Linked DNA regions of Arabidopsis thaliana. The protein of the gene in region 1 interacts with the protein of each later gene in a pairwise test. Each region holds a gene or a part of one and is shown on either strand. Other genes may lie near its edges.

Evidence for each region.
Region 2: the proteins of MYB70 (region 1) and LOV1 interact in a two-hybrid assay, tested with the Arabidopsis thaliana proteins (one large-scale study listed by BioGRID).
Region 3: the proteins of MYB70 (region 1) and AT5G58950 interact in a two-hybrid assay, tested with the Arabidopsis thaliana proteins (one large-scale study listed by BioGRID).
Region 4: the proteins of MYB70 (region 1) and PPR2 interact in a two-hybrid assay, tested with the Arabidopsis thaliana proteins (one large-scale study listed by BioGRID).

The regions. Positions count from the first base shown.
Region 1 is NC_003071.7:9,902,956-9,909,958, reverse strand, and holds MYB70 (myb domain protein 70), read left to right. Parts: upstream 1-3,926; 5' UTR 3,927-4,134; coding exon 4,135-5,064; 3' UTR 5,065-5,453; downstream 5,454-7,003. Other genes in the region: AT2G23270 (uncharacterized protein), read right to left, coding at 6,388-6,648.
Region 2 is NC_003071.7:644,916-653,381, forward strand, and holds LOV1 (NAC domain containing protein 35), read left to right. Parts: upstream 1-2,622; 5' UTR 2,623-3,089; coding exon of another isoform or gene 3,090-3,128; coding exon 3,129-3,420; intron 3,421-3,562; exon of another isoform or gene 3,563-3,750; coding exon 3,751-4,019; intron 4,020-5,050; coding exon 5,051-5,734; 3' UTR 5,735-5,905; downstream 5,906-8,466. Other genes in the region: AT2G02455 (uncharacterized protein), read right to left, coding at 3,090-3,302; AL6 (alfin-like 6), read left to right, coding at 7,922-8,018, 8,193-8,225, 8,407-8,466. UniProt on the Arabidopsis thaliana protein: Transcription factor that acts as a floral repressor. Controls flowering time by negatively regulating CONSTANS (CO) expression in a GIGANTEA (GI)-independent manner.
Region 3 is NC_003076.8:23,799,287-23,807,583, forward strand, and holds AT5G58950 (Protein kinase superfamily protein), read right to left. Parts: upstream 4,399-8,297; 5' UTR 4,180-4,398; intron 4,056-4,179; 5' UTR 3,740-4,055; coding exon 2,924-3,739; intron 2,813-2,923; coding exon 2,357-2,812; intron 2,156-2,356; coding exon 1,850-2,155; 3' UTR 1,570-1,849; downstream 1-1,569. Other genes in the region: CRCK1 (calmodulin-binding receptor-like cytoplasmic kinase 1), read left to right, coding at 1-134, 243-411, 556-645, 727-1,025, 1,113-1,430; GIL1 (glucose-6-phosphate isomerase, putative (DUF641)), read left to right, coding at 6,513-6,559, 7,358-7,492, 7,577-8,297.
Region 4 is NC_003074.8:1,953,787-1,961,053, reverse strand, and holds PPR2 (Tetratricopeptide repeat (TPR)-like superfamily protein), read left to right. Parts: upstream 1-2,749; 5' UTR 2,750-2,813; coding exon 2,814-3,140; intron 3,141-3,262; coding exon 3,263-4,396; 3' UTR 4,397-4,645; downstream 4,646-7,267. Other genes in the region: ATG8H (Ubiquitin-like superfamily protein), read left to right, coding at 4,780-4,822, 4,920-4,975, 5,380-5,432, 5,537-5,655, 5,747-5,835.

The DNA.
Region 1 (7,003 bases):
TTTTTTTTTTTTTTTTTTCAATACGCCACAAATTCTTTTAGATCAAATTTTCTTTTATATTGACCATTATTAAAATTCAAATGCATGAGTTACTAAGTTTTGATTAGGAATCCCTTTTGAATGAGAAGAAGTAATTTTTTTTATATATTATCTTATATCAACGATTAAACCTTAGTTATAGTCCTCGAGGTACTCACATATGGGCCTATATCTAAAGAAACTATAAATGGGTCATATACTCATATCATACATACGACGTACTTATTAAACGGAAGAAAAAATATGAGTGGACCAAGTTTCACATAGAACCCAAGTACCCAACTACGAAAGTTTAAGACTTTGGGTTACTCACATATCATTTTTCTTTGTTCTGCCTGACCGGTAGGAAACAAGACGCACGTGCACTGATCTGATCAAACGGCTGCGAAATGTTTTTCTTTTTAAATACGTAAAATATAAAGATTCAATTTAAATGTGAATATATAATAGCTAGATAGGCAAAATTATGTAACTAGTAATATAGTTTTTTGTTTGACTTTATAAATGACATAATGATACTAATCGAAAACAAAATCTCACCTATATTATCGAGTTGACTTGACGACAACCTGCATTCAATTGCAAAGTGTAACCATACAAATGAATTAGCTGTCTCTTTGACTTCTAATGCCTCGTGAATTTACATTTGTATCTTCTCTCGTTTAATGGGGAACTGTAGAACACCCAATGATCTAGTTTTGTTACATCTTCTTCGTTAACTTGGATCGATATCTATTAAGGTTTCTGATAACGAAATACTTGAGACAATATTTCAATATCCTTACAAAAATTTCCGACTTTGGTTTAATAGATATCAATTGCCAAAGGAATATGCTCACACATACATTGAACCTGAACAAAGAACTTTTGAATACTTTTAAATAAACTCATTTCGAGAGATAGCTTTACAAGGAACTGAGAGATATATGGTCACATGCTTTTTTTGTTCCGGCAGTCACATGCTTTTCTCTCGACAAAAGTAGATATTACGTCTCGATGTGAGTATATATAATGGAATTGACACAGACCGAACGGAATAATTTCCTTTCTCGTGAAAGAATATAATTTTAAGAATTGAGTTACAATACATTCTCCCTCAAAATTCGTAATGAAAAGTTGTACTTTCTTAAAGGAAAAAACTATTGTTTTATAATACTTTGATGGACGTACCACTTAATAATGTATTACATTCACTACATCACAAAGTAATACTTGTATGATACATCAAGGGACAGAGCATATTGATTATCATGAAAAACTACTATAGTTGAAAATCATAAAAAAACAAAAGCACATTGAGATACATATCATATAATGGGGGAAAAAACACTCATACGCCTAAAAATTTCCAATGCATACCACTTCATGTTCGTAGATTTATTCAGAAAACGTGTAGGGTATCAGGATAATGAGAGAAACATTAATCAAATCTCACGTGAAGGGATGCAGAGTTAGTAAATGAGATATACAAGTACGATTGCGGACCACACATACACTTATACATGTTACTCGGTCAATGTCATTAATATTTAATTTGAATAAGAAAATACCAACTACATAAATGATTAGTGGTAATAGTATATACAATTATGGGAAGGAAGAATTTGGTAGTAGATACGATGGACCAATAAGGGAAAATCTCATACCGTATCTCCATTAATGACACCTTCTTGTTTAATCTATAAAATTTGGCTTCGATAATTAAACAGAATCTTAAGAACTCTTTTCGATATCTCTTACCTTATCTAACTATAACTTGAAAGAAGAGAATGAGGAAGCTCACGACAAGGTTCATGTTGGCATTGGAACATGTGCAGGCGACGTTTTTTGTGCGGTACACGGCTGATGTACGGTTTAACGTATTCCTTTGTATATGAGTATCATGTTGACAACAAATAAAACGACAAAGGAAATGAACTTTACTTCAACATAAATCTTTTAGACATGTTAAACTAGCTTATATCAAACAATGAATAGTAACGATAGGCTCTCAAAACTCTAATCGATCTATCCTGTCGTTTTCGATTTACGTAAGAATCTTATTAGTATCTTTTTGAATATCCAAAATAACTGATTTTTGTATATAAAAAGTAGTAATAATATTGGCATACAGGCTGGCTTCTTTAGTCAGAAAAGTCTCTGAAGAATCCAACAAAAAACCTAAACCACTTTTAACGTCATCCTTATCTTCGTTTTATTTTTCTTTTAATCAGAAAATCAAAAACAAAAACAGAAGAAACTGGAATCACTCAATAAGTATGGATACTTTACTTATACGTTTCTAATATGTATAGATACGTCAATTCAATACGCAAAATACAATTTCGAAAAAAGCGACGTTTGTGTTTCAGTGCTTTTAAATTGAAAACAAAATGTGTTTTCACACAACAAAATAAAAAATAAAAATATTCTTAAATTTGTTGTGAAACCAATACAAAATACAACGTTCAAAAAAGAAAAACTAAAACGACACACGACATATATGATTTTATAATTAAAGTCGAAGGAAAACGTAATTTTTTCTAAATCTAATGAAAATACCAACAAAAGTTTTTAAACTTAAATCGAAAGAGACCGAACCCAACAACTAAAATCATAAGCAACTAAACACAAACCCTTTAAAAAACATTAGTCTTCAGAATCAATAAATCCTTTATTTTGAAATAACTACGGATAAAATTTATTAAGTATATGCGATCAAACCAAAGATAACATTAATTACTTTCTATCGATATAAGAAACAGTCCCGTCTCAAGCTATAATTGAGCCTTTGCCAAAATAAAAATAAAAACTAAAATCTCTTAATAAAATTTTGTTTTAAGAAAATTGGGCCTTTTATGCTTATGATTGTTTTTAAAATCAGTAATAGATCCATGGCATTTGCCTAATTTGCCATGGGGTAAAGACGGTCTTGATAAGAGTCAATCTTTCACAACCTAAACTAAAGATTTTATAATCCGACAAATAAAACGACCGAAAAAACTTAAATACGTTTTTAGATACGACAACGATAATTAATGTGCATCTAATTACGTTTAAATAGAAATCTTCAAAAATTCGACCATACCAACACTGATATGCAAAGGAAAAACAAAGAATGTAACCTTCAAAATGCAAAAAGAAAAGATAATTAAAAAAGGAAATAACTTAAAAACGAAATGATTTAAATTAAATAAAAAAACGATCCACCTGTGAAACGCTCTCAAGTACCACAAAATGTACTCTCTCTATCACACACAGTTACATATTTCGTTGACAGCTGTCCCCACTAACAGCTGTTTCCCAAATCCCCAACCGTTTTCTTGGAAAGATTCTCTCTTTATTTTAGCCTCACTCTCTCAGACGCATTTCCCCCAATCGCACCGCCACTCCCTGACGTGCTTTTTTCTTTCTCTTTTAAATATTCAAATACGTATCAGACTACTCACGTTACATCTTCTTCATAACTAATCCAATTTAGAAATTACGCAAAATTACTTAAATATGTAGTTTTTCTAAATAGTTTTACATAACTACAATATATAAGAATTTTTAATTTGAATTTATTTTTTGAAAAAGGTTTGCATTTATAATTTGATGTAATATGATTTGATTTTAGTTTAATATCTTTGTTTAGTTATAGTTAGAAATACAGTACATGTTTAGTTATAATTTAACATTCATTAAAAAAACATTACATAATAATTTGTTTAATAGTATATATTTTAATAAATTTTAGTTTAGAGTTTATTTTGTTTGGTTCAAACTAAATTTCAGTTTTCTGGATTTTAAAATAATAAAACAAAACGGCATATACTTACATATTTAATTTGGTGTCAGTTAACTTATTTCAATTTGATTCAGTTGAAAACATAATTATGCACGTAAATAATCCAATTTACAGTTACGAAAAAATTAAGTTGTTGTTAACTAACGATAAAAAATTACCGGTAGAACCGGTGACCTCTCTAACCATCACACCTCGTATAAATACTCTCTCCTCTTCATACTTATCCTCTCAACAAAAATCGTTTCGTTCTTTTCCAAAATCCCCAAACAATAGAAACGCGTTTTAAACGATTTGATTAGTTTTAAATTAAAAAGAAGATCCGAGCGATGTCTGGTTCGACCCGGAAAGAAATGGATCGGATCAAAGGACCATGGAGTCCTGAAGAAGACGATCTGTTACAATCGTTGGTTCAGAAGCACGGACCAAGGAACTGGTCTCTGATAAGCAAATCAATCCCTGGACGTTCCGGTAAATCTTGCCGTCTCCGTTGGTGTAATCAGCTTTCTCCGGAGGTAGAGCACCGTGGATTCACGGCGGAGGAAGATGATACGATTATACTAGCGCACGCTCGGTTTGGTAACAAGTGGGCGACGATTGCACGGCTTCTCAATGGTCGCACTGATAACGCGATTAAGAATCACTGGAACTCAACGCTGAAGCGGAAATGTAGCGGCGGAGGCGGCGGAGGAGAGGAAGGGCAGAGTTGTGATTTCGGTGGTAATGGAGGGTATGATGGTAATTTAACTGATGAAAAACCGTTAAAACGGAGGGCGAGTGGTGGAGGAGGAGTTGTTGTGGTGACGGCGTTAAGTCCAACGGGATCTGACGTCAGCGAGCAATCGCAATCTAGTGGATCTGTTTTACCGGTTTCTTCTTCTTGTCATGTTTTTAAACCGACGGCGAGAGCTGGTGGAGTGGTGATTGAGTCATCATCGCCGGAGGAGGAGGAGAAAGATCCGATGACTTGTTTGAGGTTGTCTTTGCCTTGGGTCAATGAGTCAACAACTCCACCGGAGTTGTTTCCGGTGAAGAGAGAAGAAGAAGAAGAGAAGGAAAGAGAGATTTCTGGACTTGGTGGAGATTTTATGACGGTGGTGCAGGAGATGATTAAGACGGAGGTTAGGAGTTACATGGCGGATTTACAGCTAGGAAACGGCGGAGGAGCTGGAGGAGGAGCAAGTTCGTGTATGGTGCAAGGAACTAATGGTCGTAATGTAGGGTTTAGAGAGTTTATTGGATTAGGTAGGATCGAGTAGTGAGTGAGAAAAGAGAAGAATTGTGTAGCAAATGCAGAGAAAGAGCCAATTTCATGATTTGAGATTTGATTCATTCGAAAAAAAAACTGAATAAATGTATTGATTTTGATCATGACATGTCTTAGATTTAATGAAATTGGTCTATAAAAGGGTTGATGAGGCTGGTCCTCGAGGTGAATCAATGTTACCTTTTGATAAAGTGAAAGAAGAGCATGAACAAAGTCATTTCCATACAAAGAGGAGTTTACAGCATTCTTGATCTCTCTAGACTGGTCTTGCGATTCGAAGAGTGAAGTAATGAATTCTACTGAACCAAGTGACGATTTCCGTAGTTTGTTACCTTCGGTTACCGACTATAGCATCGCAGTAAAGGTTATAGTGTGAGAGACAACATCATATATAGATATTCAATGAATGATACAGAGTGTAGAACAGATCACCTCAATACAACTAACTGTAGCAGTAAGGCCTCTACCGGGGAAATACTCAAAGCACAAGGGAGGTCCTTCCCAATACTGTGGCTCTGCAAAAAAGAAAGAGTTTGATTGTGTTAATAACTATCAAGCGGTGTAAGATTACTGATGTTTGACAAGCAAATACCTTCCAATAGGATGTATGGTACCTTTCTCCATAGCAGCTGCTACAACTAATGCTTCCTTTTCACAATTTGGCATACAATACAACAAGGAGTCACACTTGCATCAATTCCTGCTTGATGATGTCCATAAATGGGTTCAATTGCTTTGCACGTAAGGCTCCTAATGTTTACCTATATAATGGAGAAGAAATATGCACTAGATATGTGTATAACTTGTTGTCCAAGCCAAATTTCCACAGCTCCATCCGGAACAACATCCTTCAGAAACTATCTAAAGAATTGGTTAACTTCAATTTCCACGGAAATCGCGATTTCTTGGTTAAAGTTGAAGTGGATGTAGCTGTTAAAGAGGTAAGCTTAGGTGATTATCACTCAGAAGAAGGTTAAAGTTAAGTCGCTTCTTTTTGCTTTGTGGATTTGGAGCTTAACTATGTTGTTATTGAAACTCATTAAAAACATGAATATCCAGTTATTCATTCACATAATCAGAATAATAAATTAATTACAATATATATTACATTGTACATTATTATCAAATGAATTTCAATAAGTTAACAAAAGAATATTCCTACAGAGAACAAATGAGGTTCTTCCAATTCTTGATTTTCCCAAGTTCTAAGCATAAAAAGAAAAATCTGAATAATTAATCTGAAAAAAAACTAAACAAAGCAATCAATTTCCGGAGCTAGACCAAAGCAGCCACATTAACTGGTTCGGTCGGGAACTTAGTGACCGGGTCCACTCGTGCTGGGACCTGAATGCTTACCATATTCAAGCGTCTCAGTCCGGTCCACGAACCGATGACCCTCACCACCAGAGCTAGGACCCGACTCCTTAATCGCCCCAAGTGACAAACCATCGAAGAACTTAGCCACGAGGTTCTCTTCAGCCTTCGTTAAACCCAAAGGACGAGCCTCCACCACAAAATTCGAACTCACCAACATGAAAAACAGAAACGAACCCAAAACAACTTTGTTCATCATCATTTTCTTTGAGTGGTATTTTTGAGTAGTAAAAACAAAAATGTTTTTTATTTTATTTTTCTTGTGTTCCCTAATTTATGAGATGACTAAATTTGTTGTGAGTAGTTTGTGGACTTGGGAGTTAGAATATATAGTAAAGTGAAGAGCCTTGAAGAAGAAGAAAAGTTTGACATTTTCAGTTTTTGACTTCATAAGCTTAAAATTCAACAAGACGTGAGATTTGAATTTTAGGCTCCTTCCTGGGAAAATACTGAGGTTGCTTCTTGTTCTTGGTCTTCCAATTTCTTTTTAAAAATATAATTTGCGAACATATAAAGCCATCAACGAGGAATGGAGATTAGTTATTTGGCTGAAGAAA
Region 2 (8,466 bases), 9.3 Mb from region 1:
AAATTTTTCCTCGTTTCATATTATAATTGATTTAAGCAAAAGTATGATCGGTAGGAAATTCTTACAGCTATTATGCACTTTTATAACATTTGTTTTCCAATCAGACTCAAGTGTATATAGTGTGTCCCTTCTAAAATTCACAACTTCTATAACTATATTATATTTTCTCACCACGTTTTGTATCTTTCCTTTTTTGTTTTGGTTTAAAGCAATATGAGAATTTTACATGCTTTAGGTGTTTTTTTTTTCTTTTTACAGCAAGAAAAAATGAAGAGTACAACCCAAAGTTTACAGAGTAATGGTACAACAATTACCAGACGAATTATCTTCTTACAGCTTGGTTAAATCAATTGCTAAAGCACAAACTAATGGCGTGTATATATATTGCATATTTAGCCAAATAGTAAGCTTGAAGATTCTAAGACTTTCAAAGTAATCCCTTGCTGAGTTGCTATTATGCTGTATATGTACAATAGTATATAATAATTAAAACTTTAACGAAGACAAACTCATGTGAAAATGTAATAATCAGAAGACAAAATATAAGTTAATAATATGTCATATATATAATAATAGAAATATATGTTCTTTTCGAATTAAAATTAAAAGGTCTTAATTTTTTACAATTGCAAAAACTTTAAACTGAAAAAATGATTTAATCTTCTGGAATGTACATTATATAATATCCGCCACCCTACTTGCTACCCCTAGCTAAAAGCCAAACCGATGGAAGACTCGCTTGCATTAAATTATGCACTAGCTTAATCTACTTTTAAACTCTCTTATAATACATTTAATTCCTAATTTCTATCGCCATTTTATATTTTTACTGATATCAATATTCGAAGGGTCCATGCCTATGATTCCATGTCATACATAATATTTCCTTTCATACCTACATTCATTTTAATGAAAACCTTAAATATATATCCAAAAGCTATACATTTATGTAAACTAAACTGGTATAATAATTTTTGAAATATGTGTATGTCTACTGATTTACTATTTGATTAGTTCGTAGTAAATATATTATAAATTGTTTAAACATAAAAACAAAAAAAATCATGTAACTAGATAATTTTCTTGACGAAGATTCGAATTAACAACACAAAAAAGTTCATTTTCTGATATCGCAATGGTCTAATTAATGGTTGTTGAATAGTTTATCTTTTCCACGTTTCATAAGCTTTTTTGGTACGCGACATCCATATTGAAAAATGTCTGTCTACACTGAGCTCAATCCAATGAAATTTGTTGTGAATGAGATATATGCATTCACGGATTTCTAAAAAATATGAAGTCCATGACATCCATTGAAACATTTGACAAAATAAAAATATAAAATATGAAGTCATTACAACGTAGAGTAAGGTTTCTAAAAACCCCACTCTCGTTTCGTAGAAGCCCCACTACCACCTCACTTTAATTTCATTCATTATCTCATTTACGTTGATACTTTAAATTCATTTTTCCATATAAACTTGTAAGTATGAAATTTGTACTTAGTATATATTTTATCTATCTTTCCATGATGAACTTAAATATATTACAGTTTGCCTAGCCTTTTTAGCTCAGCTATATATATATATATATATGCTAATGTTGTTACGATGTTTATTGTTTTGTGTCTATATCTTATTTACTTTTTTGAATTATTAATAAAATGGAACAATTATACATATAGATTATAGATACATATATCTAAATATAATATATTGTATCTATATATATTAATACAAATTTTAAAGAACTGGCGGGTTTCTAAATTCTAACATATGTACTGTAAGTTCAGCTTCTTACTAAGTCATAGGAACATGGAGAGCGTTGGCAAAATCATGGTCAGTTTGTTTTGCATTCATAATTGAAGACATAGTAGTATCATGCAATGAAGATATGGTGGGCCAAATATATCATAAAAAAAATAGCGAAACAATAAGAGAACGTTCGTGAAGCTGAAGCATATGAAAAACACGTAAATATATTTATGACGAGTGACATAGTAAGCATACGTGATATTATTATTTAATTAGTAATATAGGCCACCAATCAGAATTCTTTGTCTCAACGATGAATAAATTAACTATAATAATCCAAATTTTTAACATTGTTTTAAGAATATCCGTTATTCAATTAGTCTACCTATAACAATGAATTATTATGGATCCTTTATCGCTATGCCTTGATCAGGAGAATTAGATTAGTTACACTTTCGCAATTTTTGTAGCGATGGATTGGAACAAAAACCAAAACAAAATATAGACTATTTACACATAAATTATACATGAAATCAACTTAATTTGTTATTCTCTAAAGTTTAGATTGTCTTTATAAAATACCAATCATATACCTAACTAAAACTAATGAATCTTTAACGTGCATGAGATGGTGCATGTGCAAATAAAACTATAAAGAAAACCATGATATATTTTTTCTAAGAATGATAGTTTTTGGGAATTTTAGACTTTCGGTCTATATTTTTCGTATGTCCACACCAATTGTTGATATTGCATTTAAAACATTAATTATTATTTTTTCCAAGTATAATTGAACTAGTAACCATGAGGTCCATGACATCCATTTGAAAGATGTCAATTCGTAATATTGTTTCAAAATATTTTTTCGTTTATAATACATAAACTTTAATTTTTCCTGTAAAAGATATCAACTGTTCTTTTCATTTGTGTTACAACCCAATAATTATTAAATATTTGAAACTTTAGTATTTAGAAAAAATACATAAAACTAATAGATAGATATTTTATTTTATTTTGAAACAAAAAGCTAGAAATGGAGAGTGAGAGAAAGGTCCAAAGGCACGGCTAAGAAAACAAAACCGTGGACACCCTGTCCTCAATTTGACAAGTCTTTGTCTCCTCCTTAACTCTCTTCTTCTCTCTCTTTGTCTTATTCTAGTTTGGTCTCAACTCCCAAAAACGATGACGTTTCATTCCTATATAGTCGTCCTCTCTTCTTCTTCTCCTCCTCTTATCTCTACTCAACACCACTCAATTTCATCTCTCTTTTTCCCTTCCATTGTTAGTATAAAAACCAAGCAAACCCTTAATCACTTTTCATCATCATATATCACCTTAATCCACATGCATACACATATCTAGTCTTTTTGATATATGGCAATTGTATCCTCCACAACAAGCATCATTCCCATGAGTAACCAAGTCAACAATAACGAAAAAGGTATAGAAGACAATGATCATAGAGGCGGCCAAGAGAGTCATGTCCAAAATGAAGATGAAGCTGATGATCATGATCATGACATGGTCATGCCCGGATTTAGATTCCATCCTACCGAAGAAGAACTCATAGAGTTTTACCTTCGCCGAAAAGTTGAAGGCAAACGCTTTAATGTAGAACTCATCACTTTCCTCGATCTTTATCGCTATGATCCTTGGGAACTTCCTGGTAAATATACATTCACATAAACACACATAAATCATCTCAAACTATTTGGAAATCTTAATTTCTATTCATATGTTAAGATCTTTCTTCTCTCTTATCACTTTCTCTCTCTATTTCTTTTTTTTTAACCTATATATGTACCTACCTCCTTATGAAGTATTACTATGTCGATCGTTAACAATTCTCAATATCTTTAAACGCTTCTCCCTCTTTAGTTTCTTTCTTAAATTAACCTAATTAAACAACCTACATATATATCATAAGATATACAAATATGTGTATGTTTTCATAATTAGCTTATGTATGTTTAATCATAGATATATGTATATGCAGCTATGGCGGCGATAGGAGAGAAAGAGTGGTACTTCTATGTGCCAAGAGATCGGAAATATAGAAATGGAGATAGACCGAACCGAGTAACGACTTCAGGATATTGGAAAGCCACCGGAGCTGATAGGATGATCAGATCGGAGACTTCTCGGCCTATCGGATTAAAGAAAACCCTAGTTTTCTACTCTGGTAAAGCCCCTAAAGGCACTCGTACTAGTTGGATCATGAACGAGTATCGTCTTCCGCACCATGAAACCGAGAAGTACCAAAAGGTATAAATTCTACTATAACTCTATATATATCCTATTCATACATACATAGATATAACCCTAGCTAGGTGGTGAGGCCTTTAAAATTGAAATTAATCCCTAGACAGTTTGAATTTTTTCTTTTTTGACTAGTTTTATTTATTTATTTTGGAATTGATTCGATAAGATCAAAAATACTTGTGAATGGACTAAATGTCAGGCGGCGTTTGCGCTTAAATCCAGAAAAATGTTCATGTCATATGCGTGAACTCTTTAAATTGCTAGACATGGCCCATATGTTATAGTAGAATACATTAATAGATAGATGCATACACATATATATAAACACACAAGTATCACACTCGACATTCATATACCTTAATTCTGCAGAGACATAGTTAGTTTTTCTTACAATTTATGACATGAATGTTCCTGCTCTTCCTCACATTAATTCATGTCTTCTATTTAAGTTACCCAACATTTTTTGAAATAATTTGGCATATATGAATTATACCAACATATTTATATGCGAACATTTAAAATCTATACGAATGATAACGGTTTATGGAGTAGACCGAAAAAATATTATGTATACGGAAAATGACAATGGATAGATAAATACATTTTTTGGGCTCTTTCGACTTATATGTCGTCACCATTTGAAACCATAAATTTATAAAATTTTCTATGTATATATATGATATTATGATGTATGCATAAGACAGCTAAAACAACAGGGTTGACATAATTATCTATGTGTATGTATTGCACATTCACTTGTACTAATAAAACTAAAATTACGCAATTAAATATATAAAAAATAATAAATATAATCATCTTAATTATATTTGCATTGTTACGTCATATGATAGTACTCTAAATTTCTTCTAAACGTGCTATCTTTTTTTGCTAATGCTAACTTTACATAGTTTGTGAATCTTCTTTCAAAACCATATCTTCGATAAATGATATTTTTCATAGATATTGTTAGTCTATATTTGATAATTTGATATATGTATCAAGTCTCTAATCAATGTGCTCATGTATAATTATAGGCTGAAATATCATTGTGCCGAGTGTACAAAAGGCCAGGAGTAGAAGATCATCCATCGGTACCACGTTCTCTCTCCACAAGACATCATAACCATAACTCATCGACATCATCCCGTTTAGCCTTAAGACAACAACAACACCATTCATCCTCCTCTAATCATTCCGACAACAACCTTAACAACAACAACAACATCAACAATCTCGAGAAGCTCTCCACCGAATATTCCGGCGACGGCAGCACAACAACAACGACCACAAACAGTAACTCTGACGTTACCATTGCTCTAGCCAATCAAAACATATATCGTCCAATGCCTTACGACACAAGCAACAACACATTGATAGTCTCTACGAGAAATCATCAAGACGATGATGAAACTGCCATTGTTGACGATCTTCAAAGACTAGTTAACTACCAAATATCAGATGGAGGTAACATCAATCACCAATACTTTCAAATTGCTCAACAGTTTCATCATACTCAACAACAAAATGCTAACGCAAACGCATTACAATTGGTGGCTGCGGCGACTACAGCGACAACGCTAATGCCTCAAACTCAAGCGGCGTTAGCTATGAACATGATTCCTGCAGGAACGATTCCAAACAATGCTTTGTGGGATATGTGGAATCCAATAGTACCAGATGGAAACAGAGATCACTATACTAATATTCCTTTTAAGTAATTTAATTAGATCATGATTATTATCCATGACAATAATTATTAATGCTGCTTTGCCATATTTTCATACTCCTTATATATTGTTATGGCGATAGACAATGATTGATTACTGCGAGTTTATGTAATGGAACTGATTCTCAACATATATAGTCAATTAAGTAGTTTTTTTTTTCTTGTGTTAAAGTTAATTTCTTTAAGCTAGATTCAACGTAGTTAAAAAAAAAAAATTCACTGTAATATATGAATACAAAATGACTAAGGAGTGCAATCCGTATCAAAAGTTCTCAAACAAACCAAAGAAGAAATAAACTTATTGGATTAGATTTTCATGTACGAGCCCTAACCGAAACCAGACTAAAACCAAACACTAACTAAACCATAACAATAGTAACCGTAAATCCAACCTAGTGATATTTAATTTGGTCTTCATTCCATTTCAAAATTTCAAATTGAATGTTGATATTTTTTGTTGTTTATTCATCACTTATTAGAATTCATTTTGCATTGTCATTTACATGCATTAGATCCAAGATGTTTAATTTTAGTTACCTGTTAGTGCGACTTTATAGATAAACAATCCACTAACTCTTAAGAATTCAACAACTAATTTTGAGATAGAAATATATAAAGATAAAAGATGTTAGCTAGTTTTTTGTCTTTGTAAATATAAGACTAATTAGGGTTTGACAAAAAAAAAAAGCATAGGACGTGCAATATTTGGTAAGAGCAGTTGTTCCCGTGATTTTGTCAGATATGACCAGCATGAACAGTTGTATGTTGTAAGAAATCAGTTCCCTTTTTCTCAATGAGAAAAACAAATTTAAACTTGACTTAACTCTCATACTAGTCTTTTTAATCCTAATTATTAACAATCTTTAATAATATATGTAATGTGGCAAAATCCTAATATATACTGACTTGAATATGATACGAAAGTACTAATTTTAAAGTTTTTTCCCTTTCTAACCGGTCGATGTAACCGTATTTGCATGTTTTCTTAGATTATTTTAAATAATATATGTCTATCACCTATATTAGTAAGTATATATTCATAGATTATAGTTGATTTTGCCCAAAGAAAAAAGAAGATTATAGTTGATTATACCACATCATTGATATTCTGTGACGAATTAGATTACAGTTGCGGTAAACGTATTCGCTAGCTAGTACGACGTGCTTAACGCAAAAATATTCAAAGATAACGAATCCGATTAATATTGGTTCGTTTCTTAATTCTTACATCTAGAATCACACATAAAAACAATAAAATAATTAAAAATTTGATGAATTTTTTATTTTTTTGAGTGATAAAAGGCAAAATGTTTTCCGTTTTTTAGTAGCTTTCTCTTTCAAAATATCTATTTCTGGTGTATATCGTGAAAAAAACTTTCAAAATACGTGAATGTGATGATCGTTGAAAACTTCAAATCTCATTTCCCCTAGGTTACTATAAAAGCCCACTATCCTTTAATGGGCCAGGCATGCTATTTCTGTACAATACAAGATGGACCTGAATGTTTTAACTTTTAACTTTTATCTTTAAGGTCAAGTTAATTGAAAACAAAAACCAAATTTGTGGATCAATTTGGATGCCTCAGCCTACGTATAAAAACATGTTTTTTTTTCGTAATATTAATGGAAATGAATATGTTAAAAAAAAAAAATACATGTTTTTTTCGTCGACACTTTTAAAAATAAAATAAAATTTAAATAAATGTCTTTGACCAAAATAAAAATAATGTAAAATTTGGGAGTGGGGAATGTAGCTCGGAAAAAAATAGGGTATGTAGATCGGAATTAATAAATAGATTTTATATTATTACATAAACAATAATAAAATACACAATGTTGTCTTTATTTAATTAATACAAAAATAATAAAATAGACAATGTTGTCTTTATTAATATTACTTCTCAGCCCCAAAATTAATCTTTGATCGGTCCCTTTTGTTTTATCGTTTTAGGGTTTGTAGCTCCTTTCTCTTTTTTTCTTTTCTCAATTTCCCCCAAATTAAAAAAAAACTCTCTCTTTCAGAGATTTACAAATTTCATTTCTCCAAATCCGAAACCCCAAAGTGAATATTTTTCCTTCTGGGTTTCTTTTGTTTGCCTGGAAACATTTGTCTCAGATTTTGATTTTGACCGGAGTACTCATATTCTCCGGCGATTTCTCCGGCGACATCGTTTGTGAAATGGAGGGAATTACTCATCCAATACCTCGTACTGTTGAAGAGGTCTTTAGCGACTTCAGAGGTCGACGAGCTGGTCTTATTAAAGCTCTCACTAATGGTCAGTTTTGGTCTGATTCTTGTTTCTCACTTGCGAATCAGAATGATAAGTATCTACAGAGTTACGATTTTGTGGCATTTGGGTTTTTCATTTGTTAAAAAAGAAGAACTTTTTTTATTTTGGGTTTCTTTTGTGAGATTTGACGATTCTGGGTTTTGTGTTTTGTTTATGCAGATATGGTGAAGTTTTACCAAACGTGTGATCCTGGTGAGTTATTTCTTCACAACTTTTAAAAAATTAGTCTTGCTTAGCTTCTATAGTTTCTAGTGAAATGTTTTGTTGAAGTTGTTGAGCTTGTATGTTGTTGAATTGTGTTGGTTAAAGATTGAGTTAGTTAGTCCTCCTCTGTGTGGTTTTTCTTTAAGGTGTTTCATTCTTGTTTATGTAGAGAAGGAGAATTTGTGTCTCTATGGACTTCCAAATGAGACATGGGAGGTTAATCTACCCG
Region 3 (8,297 bases), on another chromosome or scaffold:
TTTCTTTTGGGGAGCTTCAAAGGGCAACCGCAAATTTTTCTTCGGTTCATCAAATTGGGGAAGGCGGTTTTGGAACTGTTTTTAAGGGAAAACTTGATGATGGAACTATTGTTGCTATCAAGCGTGCGAGAAAGGTAGTAGTTGAAATCCTTTTCTTGGAAAATATGTGGAAAACAGATTGAACTAGTTTCTTAAGAATTATTCGGAGAAGACATTATCGATAACTCAAAATTCTGTGGCAGAACAACTATGGCAAAAGCTGGTTGCTAGAGTTCAAGAATGAAATATACACATTGTCAAAGATTGAGCATATGAATTTGGTAAAGCTGTATGGATTTCTTGAACATGGAGATGAAAAGGTTATTGTTGTTGAATATGTTGCCAATGGAAACCTACGAGAACATCTAGATGGTAAGTTGCAAGAGGTACTTCCTTCTTCTTTTACGTGTATATAGAGAAAAATCCAGTCTCTAATTTTAGAGCATAGAGAACTTTCCCAAAAAATAAAATATCTAAATGAATTCTCAACTATTGATCCTCTATATAAAAACACAGGTTTAAGGGGTAACCGCCTTGAAATGGCAGAACGTCTTGAGATTGCAATTGATGTGGCTCATGCATTGACCTATTTGCACACATATACTGGTAATCTTGTCATATTGTTGTCGGTGTTGCATTATAGCTTATTGTGCCAAGATTTAACGCATTAGGGATTTTATAATGCAGATAGTCCAATAATCCACAGAGACATTAAAGCATCAAATATCCTCATCACGAATAAGCTTAGAGCCAAAGTGGCGGACTTTGGCTTTGCTCGTTTAGTGTCGGAAGATCTTGGGGCTACTCATATATCGACTCAGGTCAAAGGATCTGCAGGCTATGTGGATCCAGATTACCTCAGGACGTTTCAACTAACTGACAAGAGCGACGTTTACTCTTTTGGTGTTTTGCTCGTAGAGATTCTCACTGGAAGACGTCCCATTGAGTTAAAGAGACCACGAAAAGACAGACTCACGGTTAAATGGGTAAGTTACTTTCTCTTTTCCCTTTCACCAGAAGCTCGAGATTATCTCAACGACTAAATCAGGAGAAACTCGTTTCATCTTGGGCAGGCATTGAGGAGACTCAAAGACGATGAAGCTGTTCTCATAATGGACCCATTTCTCAAGAGAAACCGAGCCGCCATTGAAGTGGCTGAGAAGATGCTGAGACTTGCGAGCGAATGTGTTACCCCGACGAGAGCTACACGTCCAGCTATGAAAGGCATTGCGGAAAAGCTATGGGCTATAAGGAGAGAGATGAAGGAGACGATGATATGTTCATCTGCATCTAATTCTTCTTGTTCTTCAACAACACATAGCTTCATTGGTCGTGATTCAGACAGATATGCATTGCCGAGGATTGAAGATAACGAGAATAGCATTGAGTAACTCTCTCCTTGATGATATCAATCTGTGAAACATGCTGCTGCTTCTCATTTGAAGAATTTTTTTTACTTAGATGAATACAAATACATGTCACTTAAATTTCTTTTGTTCTTGTATAAATACAAATACAAATTACTTCTGTTGAGTTTCAGAGAATATTCTTCAAATGAGAAAAGATGGATAGTAGTCTTAACATATGTAATGTAGAAGGCCAAAGTAGAAACGATATTTGAATCCCATAAATATCAAATCACAACCATTCCCCAGTTGGCAGTCATTACACATCAAATCCAGAGAAGATGACATTGACGATGAAAGATCACTAACAACAACAATCCACAAAAAAAAAGGATACAACACAAACACAAAACCCTTCTTTTTGTATTATATATAAATTTACAAAAGAGACTCTTTCCTGTCTCTCAAGCGAATTTAGGCTTCGGCAAGGCTGAGCCACCAAGGCCGCTGCTGCTGCTGCCACCGCCTCCTCCTGCGTGGACTGGTCCAAGCTTCTGGATCCAGTGTTTCAGACCTTTCCTTGGGTCCTTACAGATCTTGCTCGAAGACAGATTCAGGTTCCCTTCACGTTCCAGTGATATCGCAAACTGTTCAAGCACTTTCACTATCTGCCAGAACTCGGGTCTCTTATCTGGTGCAACCGACCAACACTGCTCTATCAGAGCTTTCATGGCTACTGGACAATCTCCCGGGATAGCTGGCCTAATGTTCTGAACCAAAGATCAACATTTTTCATATCTCAAATGGTTGAATCAACTGAACAATAAAAGACCTAAAATATACTTGTGCCGGAAGATTTTTGTCTGTTAAATTCTAAGGCTTTAACCGTAACCATTAGACAGTTCTTGTGGCATAAACTCTACGGAAGATTACAATAATGAAATAGTAAGGAGACGCACAGAATATTTTACCTTATGTACGACTGCGAAAGCAGCTTGAATAGGATTCATGTCCTCATATGGGATTGCTCCAGCTACCATTTCCCATAAAACGAGTCCAAAGCTGTATACATCGGCCTTACGTCCATGTGGTTTCCGTTTTATCATTTCAGGTGCCATCCACCTATATGTTCCGGGGTCATCAGCCAACATGTCACAGTACTCCTCCTCGCACGCTATGCCAAAGTCAGCGATCTTCAAATGGAATTCTTCGTCGATCAATACATTTTCTGGCTTAAGATCCCGATGAATTATGCGTCGTGAGTGAATATATTCCATCCCTCTAGCAATATCTATAGCAAACTCTATAAGCTTTTTCAAAGGAAGAGACCTATTCTCAGGCTTGTGCAGAAAAGATCTTAAAGATCCTTCAGGTAAATACTGCGTGAGGACACAATATACAGGCGGATCTTTGTACGCTCCAACAAACTGTTTTTAGCACATAAATAAGAGAAGAGAAGTTAACAAAAACCGTAAATCATTCCATCTAGACTGACATAACGATTAACCAAGAGAACATAACGAGAGAGGAGAAATCACCTTTATAACATTTGGATGGGTCAATCGAGACAAAAGGGTCACTTCCTTGGTAAACTGTTTCTCTAAACGAGCTCCCAAGCATCCATTATCGTCATCATCAGGTACAGTGATAAGCTTCACGGCAACAGCTTTATCTTCATACTTACCATGATATAGCCGGCTGTATAAACCATGAGCAAACTTAAGCCCAAAGAACAGCTTTGACATATCAACACGGAACTCTTCAGAAGCTTCCACAGCACTCACTCTACGACCAGTATTATCAAAAAGCTTAGACCATCCAGTGTCCTTCTTGCTCTTGACCCTCTCTTGAATTCTCAAAGTGCCAAGATCTCTGATAGGACCTGAAGGAGACCGCAAGTTAAATGATCTCTTGTCAAAGGAGTTTTTATGAGATAACTTAGGCTTCATTCCCTTTTCCGATTCCACTCTTCTTGGATGTGGAGTAGAAAATCTCTTACGCTCAGACCTCGCTTCCTTAAACACATCGGGAACAGCCATCTGAGGCGAAGGAGAAACAGATCTCTGCTTATGAGTAACCGGGTTTGTCTGTATTTCCGAATCAACAACATATACATCAGCAGCTTCCAAACTCGAAGTATCTCCCGTAGTCTGTGAGTTACTCGAAACCAACTTAGGATCCGATGATGATGCCGACGACGAAGAAGATGATCTCTGAGGTATAGCTTTTAATCCAGAAAACTTATCTTGGTTTATCATAAAAGGAAGAGAAGCTAACTTTGAAGAATTCAAACGATAAGAAACCGTTTGAGAAAACTTAGCCCTCCTAATCCACGAAGTAGCCTCTTCATCCATCTCTAAGCTCGAAAACAAACTAAACAACCTTTTTATCAAAGACTAAACAACCAAAACTCTCAATATCTCCAAAGTACCTAAGCAAACCCGTGAATACGAATGAGATGACTTGCTGCAATCTCCAACGATCTCATTTCCACGAAGATACAAAATCTTTTCAAATCCATCGAAGCCCCATTTCTCACCTTCAACCATTAATCCACAAAAACTACAAATCATAAAAGAAGAAAACTTTCCTACGAATACTACTAAGCTCGAAATTTCTCCAAACGTTCCCACCAAAATCACCGGAAAATCCTGAATTACATACCTCTTCCTACAAAATCAAGCAACAATACTCAGAAAATCGAATCCATAGAAGCTATTGAAAACGATAATGAGGGTTAAAAGATCGATCTGAATCAACAAATTTAGGAAACTAGTTTTCGATATTTGTTTACCTGAATCACAACAAAAAACTATGAAGCGTCGTCGTGTGTTAAAAGGAAGAGAAGAGGAAAGCCAAGTGAATCGGAAATCAAGAAGATCCGGCGACTTGAAGCCGGAGGAAGATGGAATCGAAGGAGAAATTTGAGAGCTAAACCATAAGACGTTTTTGGATTCTCAAAGACCTTTTTGACGAATCCAGACCTCTTACGCCTTTTTAGATGGATTTTTTTTTTCTTTTTTTTTCACAGATAAAATGTGGAAAATAAATAAATTCTTTTGGAATATTTAGAAAAATACGTTAAAACGACAGCGTATTAATCTGTCTGTCAGCATCTCTGATATGCTCTAATTATTCTGTCTGAAAGAGAAATTTAATTTAGGTTCCCTTTTTTAGTCAAATAAATTCTAAAGGCCATAGACTTCGGCCCATTAATAATAAAACTGGCCCAAATTACTTTATGATATAGGCCATGATGATTGCTTGATAGTAACCAGAAACGAAAGAGGCCTCAACGTTGACAAGCTTCACTAATCCTATGAGAAAAACTCTTCTGTTTTTTTTTTAAAGAACATAATTCACACAAATTAACCATTCTAAACAAGAACTTTAAACTACATAAAACCATTCCTATCTCTTATTCTCAACATTGGGGAAGTGCTTAAACAATTGTTACAAAACAACTTTTGAATAAATACATGCTAGTTTTTTTTTTCTTTGTCAACAACTTTATTAGATTGACTCAAAACAAGCCCATGCTAGGTTTTTATATCAATTAAATTCTTGTTTTTTTTTCAAAAAGAAATTAAACATTGTTTTTTTTTTTTTTTGTTAATTAAAACATGCTAGTTGCATGAAGTTATAAGTTCTGTGATGACACTGTTTTAAATTATGTATTAGATCATATGCATCTATATTTTTTTCTATTTTATTTGTAAAAGAGAAAATTATAAATGCTACTGGCCAAAAATACGTGTGTGTGTGGAGAAAACAAAATGGCCAAAAAATAAATGATAGGAGAGGAATAGAAGAGAAAGAAAGAAAGATTTAAGAGGTGAGTCCAAAAGATTGGTAAAACACAAATGCTTAACAACAGAGTTAATTTTTGGGGACACCACACACATGACACATCACTTTGTCTCCAGACCTATGTCTGTCCTACGCCTTTGGACATACCCTTTTCTCTTTTATCCGATCATCGTATCCTACACACATTATCTCATGATTACTAATCTTGTCTTCCTTTTTTTTTCGGTTTAAAGCAATAAGCGATATGTACACATCGCATACATTAATATTTTACACCACTAGCTATTTTAAGTTTCTTTATTGAACATGTGTACCTAGCTAGCTAGTTCATATGATCATATCAGTGGAAGACTGGAAGATATACTAAATTATACACAAATATACTTTCTGTTCAGCAAATGTTTTTTGAGTCAACTATTACATTTAATTAATGGTTTAAAATAGCGAGCTAAGAGTGGAGTTAAAATGGATGCGACAAAAGGAAAATATTTGAAAATTTGACAACATTTTTAAGATATATTTACAAGAAGTACCAACCTCTGGTCATCATTGTATTCTTCTAAATCGCAGAATACAAAGGTTAGTACAAAAGAATCTATCAAATAATGGGGGTACTGGATTTGTCAACTATATCACTTGGAAAGCTTATGCATGGGGTATAACCAAGTACGAAAGTATAACTTTATTCTTAGGTCAAACTTGCACAAAATATTAGGGTTAAGAAAGTCACCTGAATGATTTCACGGGAACTATATATGGTTAATGAATACCCACCCTATAAAAAAAAACAAGAGTGACACAGAAAGGATACACCATTTATAGACAAACTAGAACTGGCTTAATTTTTTCGTAGCTTGCACAATTTCATATATATTTTTAAGAAAGTCTTATGGAAGATATGTACATTAAGAGGTCATGCGTTTCTGATTTATTTGTGACAACCTCAGTTGAAATCATTTTGCCTTGTTGAGCGTTTGTGATTCTGGCTTCAGTTTTGATTCTGGATATACTTCCAGTGAAGTTAATATGATTTGTAATAACAAACTAGACAACAAATGGCTAGATGTCGAAACTTGAAACAAGAAATATCCCACTCCTCAATTATAATTTCATAATTAAATAATCAAGTTTGATACTTGTCACATCAAAACTCTTTTTCCTCATTGGCCTGTTTCTCTCAAATCTTCAATAAATTCTCTATATATATATGAGAAACTTTGAACCTCATTTTTCATATATATCACTGTTCTTCTTCTATATTGGAGTTCATCTCTTTTGTTTCTAAAGAAAGAGAGAGAGAGAGAGAGAGAAGAGAAGATGTTGCCAGGCATACTATTATGCTCACTTAATCCCAGGAATCACAGGTAAATATTCCTTTTCACCCCAGTTGGAATATCACTTGTGACTAATATAATTTGTTCTTTTGTTTAAAGTATTGATGTGTTTAAAGTGTTTTCTTAACATGGGGTTTAATGATAAATTTTGGATTTATAAAAAGGGGACAAGAATTTTCTATATGATTTGGTTTGGATTAGGCAAGATCCATGACTTTATGGGATCACTTTCTCGTCCAATCAAAAGAGAGATTCCTAAAAAATAGATACTTGAATAATTACCACTTAATAATGGCTATTTTTTTAGAAGAGAGAATACAAAGGATAAATTATAGTCTTAAACATATTTAAAACTACATAATCCATTTTTGTTTCTCATTTTTTTTCTTTCTAAATTGTTTCTCATTAAACGCATGTAAAAACAATATACCTATTGTAAAACTAACCTATGGGCTAATTAAAAAAAGAAAAAGATATTGGTATTTAAATAAAAATAAAAATAAAAGAGGACGACCATGTGTGCAATAAGAAAGTTGTAGAAAGACCCAAAAACTTTCCCCGAGGGCCCAAAATCGAGGTTAAGCTTTTTTACACGTCACATCGATTACAATTTTTTTAAAAGTCAGGGGTCAAAACATAAAACTAAAAAGGGTTAATTCGGTAATTATGATTCAGTTCTTATTGCTCTTCTTCTCCCCACACTGAGTCACTGACTCTATCACTCTCAGAGATTAGGATAGAAATAATCAGAAATCTCCGTCTATTGTCGTCGTCGGCCGGAGATTAATTATTCCGGTGACGTTTAGTTGGTTTTTCTTCATTGTGCAGCAAAAAGAAAAAGAGTGAGCGAGAGAGCTTAGAAACTGAGCCCAAAGACATTGACTACTGGTACTCTGTTCAATTCAATCGAGATCCTCCGAGATTCGCTCTCAAATCTGAGAATAACAATCACCATTCCCGCAGGTAATAAAGCTTCTATTACTTTCCGGAGGTTTGACTCGTTGTTGACTTTCAACAATTTCTGGTAACTTGAACGGCGTTTTGCAGTAAGAGCGGCGGCGATTTTTGCAAGAAGAAGAAGAGAGGAGAAATGGCGAACAAGGTTTCTAACTTCTCGGATCTGATTCAACGAGTTACGGCGTCTTGTTTGTTGCATCCACTCTCCGCCGGCCGGCAAGATCTCGCTGTGAATCGCCGGGAAGAGTACGATACTGAAGAAGAGGAGAATGAGGAGGAAGGTGAGATTCAGTACGAAGACGCATTGGAGAAGGAGAATGGTAAAGATGAGACAATTAGGGCTAAGAACGGAAGGAACGGTGTGAGTGTTGAGACGGTGCAGGAGATGGAGATGGTGATGGACGAAGTTTTCACGGCGGCTGCTGCTATGAAGAGAGCTTACGTTGCGCTTCAGGAAGCTCATTCGCCGTGGGATCCGGAGAAGATGCACGATGCTGATATGGCGATGGTGGCTGAGCTGAGAAGGATTGGTTCATTGAGGGAAAGATTCAGGAGGATGAGAGGTACCGGAAGTGGTGGTCGAAGGAAAAACGACGCCGGAAGAGGAATGCTGAGAGAGGCCGTGGCGCCTTATGAGGCGGTTGTGAAGGAGCTGAAGAAAGAAGTGAAAGTGAAAGATACTGAGATTGAGAATCTGAAGGAGAAAGTCAAAGTGGCTTCTATGGCCAACGGTAACGGAGGCAAGAAACACCGATTGCTTTCAAGCCGGAAAGTTAACTGTACCACACAGATTGCTGTGTCTCCGGTGCCG
Region 4 (7,267 bases), on another chromosome or scaffold:
ATTGTAGATGAAAGGCGAGCTTGAGGCCGGAAGACGAACTTAATGTCCGAGGAAGAATAGAGTTTATTCGTTTTATAGCTGAACCTTGTAAAAGGTTGCCTACGTACCCTTAGAAAGGGATCAAGCCACACGTAGTTCATATTAGAATAAGTGAGCTAGGCCGTCATTGGAGGTAGGTCGGCAGGTAGTTGACGAGGGATGAGCTATAGCTAGACGAGGAGTTGGACGAGCTGACTAGCTGACAGCTAGGCGGCGAGGACATGGTCGCTGTGATGGGAAGAGCTTGAAGACGAGCTGAGGAGCTTGAGGACGAGCCGAGGAGTTTGAAGAGCTGAAGAGCTTGACGAAGAGGAGCGAGCTGATGAACTACTTGAGAAGGGCCCAATCCGACCCCTAACAAAGACTTATGTTTAGATATGTTTTCATGCGATCCAAACTATACTATATATTTTTTTGGACGGATTTTTTAATAAGTTTTATGGAGTTCACAGACGAGTTTGAACGAAGCGTTTTCTTTATATATGTGCTATGCGAAATAAAAACTTGAAGACAAATTTAAATAATAATGTGATGTAGTAGGGCAATTGCATAATCGATAAATCCGGATAAGTGTGCCCCGATACAACAAAAGCAACAACGTTTACGAAAATTTAACAAGTCCAAAAGTAACAGACATGATAATAATATCCTCATTACAAAACTCAACACACGATCAAAATAAGTGAAACATAACATAAACCATAAACCCTCAAGTTTCAATACGTATCAGGAGATTTAATGGGGGGGGGGGTTAAAATCATATACTCCTCCTTGCCGAACTATTAGGGGTCGGATTGGGCCTACTTGGCCCAATGCCCAAACCCAAGTCAAAAGCCCAAAATAAGTTCCAAACCAAGGAGGAGTATTAAGGCGAAGGGTAGTTTCGTCAAATCCCTCGATGAATGCCCTACACGCGTAGTGCTATAAATACGGAATAGCATGTCATGTCGAAGGGGGGAATTCCGCCTGACACGCAGACACAGAGTAGCTCGCCTTTCTCAAGTAGCTCGTCAGCGAGCCCTTCTCAAGAAGCTCGTTAGCTCGCTCCTCTTCGACAAGCTTATCAACTCGTTCTCTTCACCAAGTCCCTCAGCTCGTCTTCAAGCTCTCCAACTCGTCTTTAAGCTCTTCAAACTCTTCAGATCGCCATTAAGCTCAACAAGCTGCTAAGCTCGTCTTCAAGCTCCTCAACTCGTCTTCAAGCTTCTCAGCTCGTCTTCATGCTCCACTCAACGACCATCTCCTCGTCTAGCTGTCATCTATACAGCTCGTCCAACTCCTCGTCTAGCTATCAGCTCATCCCTCGAAAACAAAACTCATCTACCTCCTCGCCTAGCGGCAGTTCGTCCATTGACTGCATAGTCCACCTATCTCGTCGTCCAGCTCGTCTAGACCTTCAGCAAACAACTCGGTTTATCCAACTCGTCTCTCTACCACGGTTCATCCAGCTTGTCGCACATCTGCCGGCTCGTCAACTACCTGCCGACCTACCTCCAATGACGGCCTAGCTCACTTATTCTAATATGAACTACGTGTGGCTTGACCCCTTTCTAATATGGACTACGTGTCGTCTCGCTTGACTATCACCGAGACAGCACATTGTCAGCTCGCCCGTCTCACGAAGATCGTCCGTCTCAAATAGCTCGTCAGCTCGTCCTTCTCAAGTAGCTCGTCAGCGAGCCCTTCTCAAGAAGCTCGTTAGCTCGCTCCTCTTCGTCAAGCTTATCAACTCGTTCTCTTCACCAAGTCCCCCAGCTCGTCTTCAAGCTCTCCAACTCGTCTTCAAGCTCTTCAGCTCGCCTTAAGCTCTTCAGCTCGCCTTTAAGCTCTTCAAACTCTTTAGCTCGCCCTTCTTACAAAAACAAAAAAGGATATCAATTATGTAGATCAAAACAAAAACAAAAAAGGACTTACAAGGACGTAGATATCAATTATGTAGATCAAAGAATAAGCAGTCCAAATTCCAGCGTTGATGAAACGAACTAACGATAGCCAAAACGGCATGTACTTGAAGGTCTTAGTCTCCGGCGGCATTTTGTCCTAATTGTTTCACGCATTAAAAACTTATCAAAACCAGTTTAATAGTTTACTTATCTATATATTCATCAATAAGTGAGAGCCAGAGAGAGAGAGAGAGCTTACTATGGTAAATAAAAGATAGATGATAACAATGTTGTAAACGTTGCAAACAACACCAATGAATGTATGCTTGCCGGCCGGATAAACTCCCAAATCCCCAGATAGTCATACAATAGACTGTTGCCACAAAACTAAACTCCAACGGAAGCAATAGATAAAAGAGTAATATCTGCACATCAACATCGACATCATCAAAATCAATATACAATATTTTTCTGGATTTGTTTTTTTTTTCTTTGGGATATTTCTATAGAATTTAGTCAAGATTGTGTTTGTTTGTTACCACCTTTTGTGCACCAGTCACCAATCCTTATTTTTATTATTAAATCTATTTTTGATACTATAATTCGTGATTTTCCTTTTAGTTTTATATATATATATACTTACAGAGATGCGAGCTTCATATTATTATTTTTATCTTTTTGAACACCAAAAAAATAGCCTCGTATTATTTTTAAATGATCAATTATGTGATCATATTTAAAAATACGATCCGGTTTTTAAGGGATTTGAACGGATCAAATGTGTTTCCGGTTCGGTTATATAAACCGGTATTTTACCATATCCAACCGAAATGAGTATCGACGGGAATTATCCGTAAACAGAGTGACAGTGAGGTGTGAAGGAAGAAGACGATGGCGTCAATGTCTCTCTCCTTTTCTTCTTCGCTATGTTCATCCAGAATCCCCGAAGGTAAGCGTAGGTTTCGTCACAGAGATGTGGGCATCGTTAGATGCGTTTTGGCTGCTTCGAAATCTTCTCCGGGAAGTGTTACGAAGAAGAGGCTTTGGAAAGACGGCGAATTCCCCGGAATCACGGAGCCGGTTAATCAGAGAAGAACTCCGATAAAGAATGTGAAGAAGAAACTTGACAGGAGAAGCAAAGCTAACGGATGGGTTAACACCGTCACTGAAACTTTGTCCGATCTCATCGCCAAAAAGCAGTGGTTACAAGCTCTCGAGGTATTTCGATTTTCTCTCTTCTCGTTCATGTTTGATTGAATTTGAACTCAATTTTGAATCACGAGTATAATTTAGCTGAAAGATGATTTTGATTGAATTGGGTATTTTGTTGATGATCTTAGGTTTTTGATATGTTGAGGGAACAAACATTTTATCAACCAAAGGAAGGAACTTACATGAAGCTGCTTGTTCTTCTCGGTAAATCTGGTCAACCCAATCGTGCACAGAAGCTGTTCGACGAAATGCTTGAAGAAGGACTTGAACCAACTGTTGAACTCTACACTGCTCTTCTCGCTGCTTACACTCGCAGCAATCTCATCGACGATGCTTTTTCAATTCTTGATAAAATGAAAAGCTTTCCTCAATGCCAACCTGATGTTTTCACGTACAGCACTCTGCTCAAGGCTTGTGTGGATGCTTCTCAGTTTGACTTGGTGGATTCGTTATACAAGGAAATGGACGAGCGTTTGATAACTCCAAACACTGTGACCCAGAACATAGTTTTAAGTGGGTACGGTAGGGTCGGAAGGTTTGATCAGATGGAGAAAGTTTTGTCTGATATGTTGGTGAGTACTGCTTGCAAACCCGATGTGTGGACTATGAATATCATCCTTAGTGTGTTTGGAAACATGGGTAAGATAGACATGATGGAGAGCTGGTACGAAAAGTTCAGGAACTTTGGGATTGAGCCAGAGACTCGGACTTTCAATATTTTGATTGGTTCTTATGGGAAGAAGAGAATGTATGATAAGATGTCGTCTGTCATGGAATACATGCGAAAGCTAGAGTTTCCGTGGACAACATCAACCTACAACAATATCATCGAGGCGTTTGCGGATGTTGGTGATGCAAAGAACATGGAGTTGACATTTGATCAGATGCGTAGCGAAGGTATGAAAGCAGACACAAAGACCTTTTGCTGTCTCATAAACGGATATGCCAATGCCGGTCTTTTCCACAAGGTGATAAGTAGTGTTCAGTTGGCTGCTAAGTTTGAGATACCCGAGAATACTGCCTTTTACAACGCGGTGATATCAGCGTGTGCTAAAGCAGATGATCTGATAGAGATGGAAAGAGTGTACATAAGAATGAAGGAGAGACAATGCGTATGCGATTCAAGAACGTTTGAGATCATGGTCGAGGCGTATGAAAAAGAAGGTATGAATGATAAGATCTATTACTTGGAACAAGAGAGGCAAAAGCTTATGGATCGCACTGTTGCTACAAAAGAGATGGAGAATCTTCCGGCAGGATGATTGCGGTTTGTGTGTGAATCTCTCTCTCTCTCTCTCTGCAAGGAGAGATCGATGTCTCACTTGAAAGAGTAGAATAAAAGAGTTTGTAATACACTTGATTGTTCTTGCAGCTATGCGTGTTATATATTTTGATGGGCCCAAAATTATGAATAGAGGCCCATAGATAAACTGTGACGTGCACAAGAAATCGGACAAGTCCAAAAAGTGGATAAGTGCGTGTCGTCTTTCTATAAATAATCTCTTTTCTCTCATCTTTTACCGTTTCTTCTCGAACAATCAAAAACGAACTAACCAAACATAAAATTGAACACATCCTCTTCCTCTGCTCTCTGCAAACAAAAAAACACCGATTCGGTCAGGAATCATTCGTCGTGAAATCTGTAATGGGGATTGTTGTCAAGTCTTTCAAGGATCAATTCTCCTCTGGTTTGTTCTTCGTTAATCTCTTTCTGATTCTTTGGAATTTTTTTTCCTTCGAAATGTGCTTCTGAAGCAAAGTTTTCATCTTTGTTTGAGGATATAGATGAGAGATTGAAGGAGTCGAACAACATCATTGCGAAATATCCAGATAGAATACCTGTAAGTTATTTCATAAATTTCATGTTTGATTTGTTTCTTGGTGTTTCCGTCTTAGTTGCCGTGCGATTGTGGATTTCCTTAGGGTTCGAATGATTTACTCAATTAAAAAAAAGTCTTCGTTTGACTTGCATCTCTCGAATTTGCTAGAATCTCTGTTTCAATCTTAGAATTTCTTCGCCATGGTTTGATGGATACGATCTGGGATCTGAAATTTGACTGATTTTGTGCGGTTTGGTGTTGATCCAATCACTCTGGTCAATGTCGGAGACGACTTCTTTAGTTGAGATTTGATCTATCACCAACAACAACCCAAACCAATTTGATTTAGGGATTTGGATCTGTTCTTGGTTTGGTTTCTTCATCAGATTCCAGCATTTATGGATGGGTTTTATTTACTTATGTAGGTGATCATTGAGAAATATTCAAACGCAGATCTGCCAGACATGGAGAAGAACAAGTGAGTTGTGACATCAATTTAGCTGTTGGACCAAACCAAGTGTAACCTGTCTAACTGTGAATAATCTTGTTTTTAACTCTGTATCCCGCATTTGTTTATTGTAGATACTTGGTCCCACGAGACATGACTGTTGGACATTTCATCCATATGCTAAGCAAAAGGATGCAGTTAGATCCATCCAAAGCTCTCTTTGTTTTCGTACACAACACTCTTCCTCAAACCGGTAAGATAAGAAGTATCATCATCCATGTAGAGTGAGACTTTACCTGCAGTTTTCCAAAGCTTTCCATTAACACTTGTCTTGAATTATGCAGCTAGTCGCATGGACTCTCTCTACAATACTTTCAAGGAAGAAGACGGGTTCTTGTACATGTGCTACAGCACCGAGAAAACTTTCGGCTAACAAAAGATTTGTCGCTTCATATCGAAATCGAAGCGCACTCTGAATAATCCATTTGTTTGATTCCTATGTTTGTGAATAACGTCAGCTCTTGTTGTTACTGTTATTGTTGTTGTTAGCTGACATTGTACAGAAAAGCTAAAAAAAAGAAAGACATTTGACTTTGTAAATTATGTATAATCCAACTATGGCAATAATAATAAGACCAAGTGATGATGATTCACACGAAACTCTTTTTGCGTTTTGTTCTTCCCTATAAAAAAAGAAAAGAATATAGATACTTTCGTGGAAGCACGTAAGTTTGGGGAGATGTGGTAAAATGAGACCTAAAGAAATTGCAATGTCGGTGCGGCGGTAAACGTGTACCCTACGACTTGGATTGTGTGTTTTATGCGATAAGGTTTTTAAGAAAACCGCAATTTTTAGAATATTGTTTATGTATATCCATCCATCATATGGTTAATCTTCTCTACAAGTTTATTTTGCCTCTTTTGTTTATACACATTTTATGTTCCGATTACATATTTTATTCCTTCTTAATCATCACTTCTAACATGAGGATTTAAAACTTTTCTGTTTCCAACGAGTTTATAACTACTTAATTAATGCCTCTATTTTAGTTCAATAGTGATTAATGACGCGTTGGCACCATCTCAAACTAAACTCAATATTTCGGAGCAAATAAAACAAAATTTCACAAGGAGACCAATAATTGATCGAGTATATTCTTGGGGGGATGTTACGATGCCATCCATGTCCAAAACTATTTGGATCAAAGCTTCTTTTTGGAATTTTTGTGCTCTTTCATTTCATTTGTATATAGATTCGGTTATTCCTTGACAAAAAAAAAGATGGTTATTCCTAATTAACTGCCACATTCTTATTTATAAATATCAATGTCGGTTACAAACACGATATAATGTAATAAAATAGTTGATCCAGGACGTAATAATTGTGCTCCCAGTGTGTTAGTTAGACTTGTTATTTTTATTTGCTATAAAAAGGATTAGATTAAGAAAGGATAACCGACAATTTAATTTTAAACAGAATTTTAGACAAACAATGTATAGTCGTAATCTGCGGTGGTTTTATTGTTTAAGATGATTTGTTATGTGGATCGAAACCAAGATTATAGTATTTCTATCACGACTTTAACCAATGTGAACAACTCAAGAAAACAAAAAACAAAAACAAAAAAGAGTTTTTCTATATATGATTGATAAATTTAAAAGTTGCTACATAAATTTAAAAGTTGCTTGATAAATTTCAGTATTTTACATTGTGAATGAGTACAACTCTGCTATTTGGGCCAGATTGGGCCTCTAATTTAATAGATTCACAGCTACAGTTTGAAGCTTTTGTGACTTGCCCAAGAAACAATAGTTTCGTTCAATACCATAAATGGGTTTTATCTTCTCAATAAGCCCGTCAAGAG